Linked DNA regions of Callithrix jacchus. The protein of the gene in region 1 purifies or fractionates together with the protein of each later gene. This does not show direct contact. Links are inferred from orthologs where the notes say so. Each region holds a gene or a part of one and is shown on either strand. Other genes may lie near its edges.

Region 1 (3,745 bases):
GGTATGTGGGGGTGTGTGTGGAGGGGATGCCAGTGCCTGTGTGTGTGTCTGGGGATGTGAGTGTGTGTGTGTATGGATGTGGGTGTGTGGGGGTGACTGTAGGTGTTTGTGTTAGTGTGGAGGTGCCTGTGTGTGTATGAATGTGTGTGTGGGAGGGGGAACCTAGGGTGAGATGTGTGTTGGATGAGTGCATTTGTGTGGGTGTTGGTTCCTGTGTATGTGTGTGTATGTGGGTGTGTGTGTTCATGGGTGTGGGTGCCTGTGTGTATAGGGTGTGTATGTGACTATGTGTGTGGATACCTGTGTGTGAGTGTGTGTGTGTGTGTGTACTTGTGGGTGGGATGAGTGTATGTGTTTATGTGAGTATGTGTGTGTGTGGTGCCTGTGTATTGGGGGAATGAGTCTGTGTGTGAATGTGTGTGTGTGGGGGTGTTTGTGTGTATGTGAGTGTGTGTGTGTGTGTGCCTGCGTGTGTGAGTGTAAATGTGTCTGTGTGGGGGGTGGGGTAGAGGTGCCTGTGTGTGTGTGAGAGAGAGAGTGTGTGTGTGCCTGCCTCTGTGTGTGTGAGTGTGGATGCCTCTGTGTGGGGGGTGGGGTAGTGGGTGCCTGTGTGTGTGTAGGGTGTGTGTGTATATAAGGTGTGTGTGTGTGTGTGTGTGTGTGTGAGAGTGTTTGTGTAGCGGAATGGACTTTGGAGGTAGATTTGATCTTGATATGCGAGGTCTGGAATGCACGAAACATTAAACTTTATTCGAGGACAGAGCTTTCCAAGTGCTCTAAGGAGCCGCGCTAGAGAAGGAGGAGTTGTGGGGACTCCAGGAGCTTCAAAGCAAGGCCCTCACTCTGCTTCAGGCCCACTTTTTATCACCTTATCTATGGAGTTCTGCTTGATTTCATCAGACAAAAAAGTTCCACTGCTAAAACAGGCAAATAAACAAAAAGAGTTATGGCCCACAGAGCCACTGGGAGGTTTTGTGCTGGGGAGGAGCAGGCCCATGTTTGAAGAAACACTGTGACTTGACTCTGGGGTTGTGTGGGGAGCGCGGGGCCTGATGGCAGACCTTGGGAGTGGAAGTCTCTTTCTCAGCCTCTTCAGCTAGACAGGGGAATTATAAAAGGAGGTGGGTGGGGCATGCACATCTCTCCAGTAAGGGAGAGTCTGATGGAGTGAGGTCTCCCCCAGGCTTGGGGAAGTGTGTGTCATCTTCAGAAGGTAGTCCTCCCTACAGACACTGGTACCAGCAGAGGGAAAGGGAGGGGGAAGAGGCAGGAAGTGGGTAACTAGACTAACAAAGGTGCCTGTGGCAGTTTGCCCATCCCAGGTGGGAGGGTGGGGCTAGGGCTCAGGGGCCTGTGTGAATTTACTTGTACCCTGAGGGCTCAGAGGGAGCACCGGTTTGGAGCTGGGACCCCCTGTTTTACCTTTTCTGTGGCTGGTGAATGGGGATCCCAGGATCTCACGATCTCAGGTACTTTTGGAAGTTTCCAGGGCAAGGCCCCATGATGTCTGATGCTGGGGGAGCAGATCTTGGGGGAGCCCCTTCAGCCCCCTTCTCCATTCCCTCAGGGACCATGGGCTGTGGCTGCAGCTCACACCCGGAAGATGACTGGATGGAGAACATCGATGTGTGTGAGAACTGCCATTATCCCATAGTCCCACTGGATGGCAAGGCCACGGTAAGAGGCAAGACAGGGGCCTTAGTGAGGGAGTTGGGTAGACCATGCAACCCAGGAGGAAGAAATGACCAGCGATACAGGCCCTTGAAAGAATAGAGCGGCCCTCTCCCCTGGAATACAGGAAAGGAAAAGAGGCCCAGAGAGGGAAAGGGACTCTCCTAAGATCACACAGCAAGCAGTTGATCAATTCAGGGATAAGACCCAACCAGGCGGAAAGGCTGAGAGCAGAGGGGAAGGGGGCCAGGGTCTGACCCAGTCTTCTGCTCTCTGACTCCACTCTTCATCCCCCACCCCACAGCTGCTCTTCCGAAACGGCTCTGAGGTTCGGGACCCACTGGTCACCTACGAGGGCTCCAATCCGCCGGCCTCCCCACTGCAAGGTGACCCCAGGCAGCAGGGCTTGAAAAACAAGATCCCTCGCTGTCGGCTTCCACCTCCTCCCCACCTACTCTCTCCCTTGTCCTGCCTTCCTTGTCGCCTGCCCCATAACTCCAGGCTTCCTGCCCATCTCAGGCCGGTTCTCCCTGATGCCGCTTGTCTTTACAGACAACCTGGTTATTGCCCTGCACAGCTACAAGCCCTCTCACGACGGAGACCTGGGCTTTGAGAAAGGGGAACAGCTCCGAATCCTGGAGCAGTGAGTCCCTGACCACCTTGCTCTGGGGAGTCCGTGAGGGAGCGGGGATCTCCGGTACCGCAGCCCTCCTGCGGCCCTTGACTGGCTAGGGTGGCCGCCCTTGGGACAAAATTCGAGGCTCAGGAGTGCGGAGCCAGGGTTCGGGAGGCTGGCTTCAGGGTTGGGGGGTCTTTGAGGGATAGCCTCAGATCAACGGCTGAGTGGGCCGCACTGACCCGCCTCCGTGGCGCAGGAACGGCGAGTGGTGGAAGGCGCAGTCCCTGACCACGGGCCAGGAAGGCTTCGTCCCCTTCAATTTTGTGGCCAAAGCGAACAGCCTGGAGCCCGAACCGTGAGTGGGGTCCCGTCGTGGAGGGGGGATGGAAGCAGATCCAGGGATCCTGGAGCAGGGAGTGGGCCTGGGGTGGCGGTGAAGGCTTGAGGGCCACGGAGGAAGATTCGACAACAGCCGATGGCCTGTGTTGGCTTCCGCCCTGCACAGCTGGTTCTTCAAGAACCTGAGCCGCAAGGATGCGGAGCGGCAGCTCCTGGCGCCAGGGAACACTCACGGCTCCTTCCTCATCCGGGAGAGCGAGAGCACCGCGGGTGAGCGGGCGGCGGCCTCGACCCGGCGCGGGGGTGGGGGCCGCGGGGTGAGCCAAAGGGAGGCGAGGGGGTGAGCTCGAGGTGGGGGCGTGGGGTGAGCCGGAGTGGGGCGCGCGGGGTGAGCCTGAGGTGGGGGCCGTGGTGGCGGGCCAGACTCTGCGTTCTTTCGTTCCTTTATCCATCCATTCATTTATTCAGGATCATTTTCACTGTCGGTCCGGGACTTTGACCAGAACCAGGGAGAGGTGGTGAAACATTACAAGATCCGTAATCTGGACAACGGTGGCTTCTACATCTCCCCGCGAATCACTTTTCCCGGCTTGCATGAACTGGTCCGCCATTACACCAGTGAGCCTGGCGGGACCCCTTCCCAGTGCCCTATCAGCCCATCTTCCCTCAGTCCCCTTCGGGTGTCCCCCAACCATCTTTCAATGCGCTCCTCCATTCCCCGCAGTGGGTGAGGTGTGGAACCGTGGAACCCTACGGCCCCAAGGGTTTGGGTGACAGCCCCACACCTGCCTGCTAGTCTACTTTCCCTGGATAGGGGGCTTGGAGAAGTGGGGGAGGTGGTTTTTGCTAGTCCACTTCCCCTGGGTGGGGACTTGGAGAAGTGGGGGAGGTGGTTTTTGCTAGTCCACTTCCCCTGGATGTGGGCTTGGAGAAGTGGCGGAGGTGGTGTCAATACAAGACCACCTTCCCCACTCCCTTGTCCTCGCAGATGCTTCAGATGGGTTGTGCACACGGCTGAGCCGCCCCTGTCAGACCCAGAAGCCCCAGAAGCCCTGGTGGGAGGATGAGTGGGAGGTTCCCAGGGAGACGCTGAAGCTGGTGGAGCGGCTGGGGGCT
Region 2 (3,645 bases), on another chromosome or scaffold:
TTCCTCCAGGACAACAGGACCATGAAGGCCACGGGAGAGAGCCAGAGAGGCATGGGGTGGGGTCAGCCCCAGGTGCGTCTGAAGAGGGCCTGCAGGACAAGATGGGTGCAGATCAAAAAAGTCTCAATGCGGGGGGCTGAGGGGAATCCTGCCCGGGGGCCTCTGTTTTCTCTGTGAGGCAGGAGGACATGGGGGCTTGACAAAGATGAGGTCTGAGTGACTCTGGGGAGAAGACGGGGGAGTCTCTGGGCCTGGAGAAAGGAGGCTGGCACCTGATCATTCTGTCCTTCCCACATCACCTCACACCTCTGTTCTTCACCCTGACCTGGGCATCCACTCCCAACACCTTCTTTCCCTTCTCCGATCTACCTGCAGGGAGACCTTCTTGCACCCACCTTTCCTGGCACACCCATTACCTGGCCTCCTGGGACAGGCCTGGACCGACTTTTCCGTAGGACAGGGTGCCCAAGGGTGGCGGGCAGGCCCTCATCTTCCACCTCCACATAGATGTTGCTGGGGGCTTCCCCGGGGCTGCCCCGGCCCATGGCGTAGAAGGCTATCGGTTCATCAGGCTCGTTGTAGATAGGGTTGGGGGGCCTGGGGGGTGAGGCCAGGCAGCGGCGTGGAGCAGGGCTTGTGTAGAGTTCTGCGGGCAGCTGAGGTTTGGCGGGGATGGGAGGCTTGGGCCTGAGTGGGTGGGAGGGCTAGGAGAGGTAAGGCCAGGGAAGAGTGGAGCGAGGGAGGCAGGGTTAACACCCCAGCAGGATTAAAGCCCTAGCCTAACTCTCAGCTGAGCCTCTGCCCTGCTAAGCCCCTCCTCCTCCCTGCTGCCTGCACCCCCCCCCCCCCCCCCGCAGGCCTCTCCTCCCCTTTCCTCAGCCCCTTCAGCCCAATACCTCTTTCTCCCCAACCCCCTCTTTCTGCATCAGGATTGGGGCCTGCCCCTGCTTGATGATCGGGCTGTACTGGGGGTTTGGGTCCTGGCTTTTGCTTCCAGTGTCTGATTCTTTGGTCCTCAGGGAAAGTCCTGAAGGCTCAGGAGTCTGCTGGGAAAGAAGGAGGTCTGAGGGACTTGGGGGGAGACATTGGGGAGGAGGAGGTGATCAGGAGAACAAAATCATCAGGTCTAAGTGGAGGATAGGGGTGGGATGGGCACAGAAATTTGGCCTGGGCTGAGTTTTCTGGATGAGGAATTGGGGATGGAGATGGCGAGGAGACCCTGGTGTGGGTGGAGGCAGTTTGGTCTGGTCACAGGCCATATCTAGCGTTAAACTTGTTCTTTTTTAAGATAGAGTCTTACTCCGTTGTCCAGGCTGAAGTGCAGTCTCAGCTCACTGCAGCCTTGACCTCCTGGGCTCAAGCCATCCTCTCGCCTCAGCCTCCCAAATAGCAGGGACTACAGATACGTGCTGCCACACCAGCTAATTGTGTTTTCATTTTTTTTTTTTTTTGAGACGGAGTTTCGCTCTTGTTACCCAGGCTGGAGTGCAATGGTGCGATCTCGGTTCACCGCGACCTCCGCCTCCTAGGTTCAGGCAATTCTCCTGCCTCAGCCTCCTGAGTAGCTGGGACTACAGGCACGCACCACCACGCCCAGCTAATTTTTTTGTATTTTTAGTAGAGACGGGGTTTCACCATGTTGACCAGGATGGTCTTGATCTCTTGACCTCGTGATCCACCTGCTTTGGCCTCCCAAAGTGCTGGGATTACAGGCTTGAGCCACCGCGCCCGGCCTGTGTTTTCATTTTTTATAGCAATGAGGTCTCATTATGCTGCCCAGGCTTGGTCTTGAACTCCTGGGCTCAAGTGACCCTCCCACCTCAGCCTTCCATTGTTGCAGGATTACAGGGGTGAGCCACCACACTTGGCTGCATTAAACTTAATTGCATCTGGAACGCAGGGCCAGGCCAGATTCCATTTGTGCCTGTGGTTGTGAAAATGCAACATGGCTTCACATGTCTTTTTTTTTTTTTCTTTTTCCTAGCTATCCTTTACACTGTAGGCCTTACACGTCTTTAGCTGAAAAGTTATTGGCATGGGGACCAATCTCTATGACAGCTGTGCTTGTGTTTATTTATGCATGCTGGTTAATTTATGGAGTTATAAATGATTTTCTTTTTTTTGAGACCAAGTCTCACTCTGTCGTCTAGGCTGGAGTGCAGTGTCGAGATCTCGGCTCACTGCAACCTCTGCCTCCCAGGTCCAAGCAATTCTTCTGCCTCAGCCTCCCAAGTAGCTGGGATTACAGGGGCCTGCCACCACACCCGGCTAATTTTTGTATTTTTCAGTAGAGACAGGCTTTCTCCATGTTGGTTAGGCTGGTCTTGAATTCCCGACCTCAGGTGATCCACCTGCCTCAGCCTCCCAAAGTGCTGGGATTACAGGCATGAGCCACCACCAGGCCATAAGCTAAAATTTTTAAGGGCAGAGACCACCTCAGGAGAGAGGATCCCCATGTGGGATGGTTCTGTCTCACAGAGGGTGTGCTTTTAGCTCAGCGTCCGTTAGCCCTTGGTCCATGAATGCTGTGCCCATACCCACTGCCACTCTAGGCTAAGGTCACAGGGCTTTTCTCGTGCTCCTGCTATCCACCAAGTGCACTTCTCCATCGGGAGGTGTACTGCAGGTATACTGTGGAATCCAAAGAATTATTTTCCCTGCCCTAACCCCCTCCTCTCTCAGTATGTCCTTCCTGAATAAAGAGTGACATCTCCACCCTGCTGCCAAAATAGCATCTTAGGAGTCAGCCTTGAGGCCTCCACCTGCCTCCCGACATGAAATCATACACAAGTCCTGCTCCTTCCACTGTCTGCTGTTCACATCTGTGTACTTTTCTCCACGCACATGGCCAGCACCCTAGTTCAGGCTCCTGACTCCTTTCCCTGCATCGTCTTGTCCTTCCAACCCACTCAGTTTTGTTCCTTGCCGTTTTCCCAGTGCCCAGAATGGCCCCTCAGCACTGCCTGGACTCGTGCACCACTGCCTGCTAGGCTAAATGGTACCCTGGGTTTCCTCTTGAATCACACTCTCTACACTGGAATTCTATTACTTGTCCGTTTTTGCTGCTGGAAAGTAAGCTTTGTGAGTTTGAGACCCACCTGTCTGTCTTGTTCATGGGTCTATTCTCAGGGCCTGCCAGCACTTGGTAGGGCCTAAGTACTCTGTAAATATCTCTTACATTAAAAAAACAAATGACTAGGCTGGGCGCTGTGGCTCACGCCTGTAATCCCAGCTACTCTGGAGGCTGAGGCAGGAGAATCACTTGAACCCGGGAGGCGGAGGTTGCAGGGAGCAGCGATCATGGCACTGCACTCCAGCCTGCGCAACAGAGAGAGAACAAAACATACACAAAACCCCAAATGACCGTGTGTGCCCCTGCTCTCTCCTTGCCCCTCTGTCTCCGTGTGGCTGGGCTGGCCTCTCAAGGACGTCCCCGCCCCCCACCAGCATTCATGTTTCTCGAAGGGCCTCCCACGAAGATGAAGGTGCCCGCGTAAGTGAGGCATGGCCGGTGGTGTTTCAGCATGAGAAAGTGCCTGGTGCCGCGTCCTGCGCCTGGGCTCTGGGTGGGAGGGGCGCTGGCCTGAGACCCTGGGCTCTCGGGTCAGGGTCTGGGGCGCGTACCTGGCGGGCAAGGGGCTCGGT

Evidence for each region. The genes of interacting proteins can lie anywhere in the genome.
Region 2: the proteins of LCK (region 1) and SH2D2A purify together in Homo sapiens (co-immunoprecipitation; 3 studies listed by IntAct, with this or other methods). This does not show direct contact. The link is inferred for Callithrix jacchus from reciprocal best matches to the Homo sapiens genes LCK and SH2D2A.

What each region holds. Positions count from the first base shown.
Region 1 is NC_133508.1:68,884,497-68,888,241, forward strand, and holds the start of LCK (tyrosine-protein kinase Lck), read left to right. Parts: upstream 1-1,363; 5' UTR 1,364-1,440; coding exon 1,441-1,677; intron 1,678-1,975; coding exon 1,976-2,057; intron 2,058-2,223; coding exon 2,224-2,314; intron 2,315-2,546; coding exon 2,547-2,645; intron 2,646-2,795; coding exon 2,796-2,899; intron 2,900-3,097; coding exon 3,098-3,247; intron 3,248-3,617; coding exon 3,618-3,745. UniProt on the Homo sapiens protein: Non-receptor tyrosine-protein kinase that plays an essential role in the selection and maturation of developing T-cells in the thymus and in the function of mature T-cells. Plays a key role in T-cell antigen receptor (TCR)-linked signal transduction pathways.
Region 2 is NC_133519.1:17,210,888-17,214,532, forward strand, and holds part of SH2D2A (SH2 domain-containing protein 2A), read right to left. Parts: coding exon 3,625-3,645; intron 1,044-3,624; coding exon 897-1,043; intron 705-896; coding exon 417-704; intron 1-416. UniProt on the Homo sapiens protein: Could be a T-cell-specific adapter protein involved in the control of T-cell activation. May play a role in the CD4-p56-LCK-dependent signal transduction pathway. Could also play an important role in normal and pathological angiogenesis.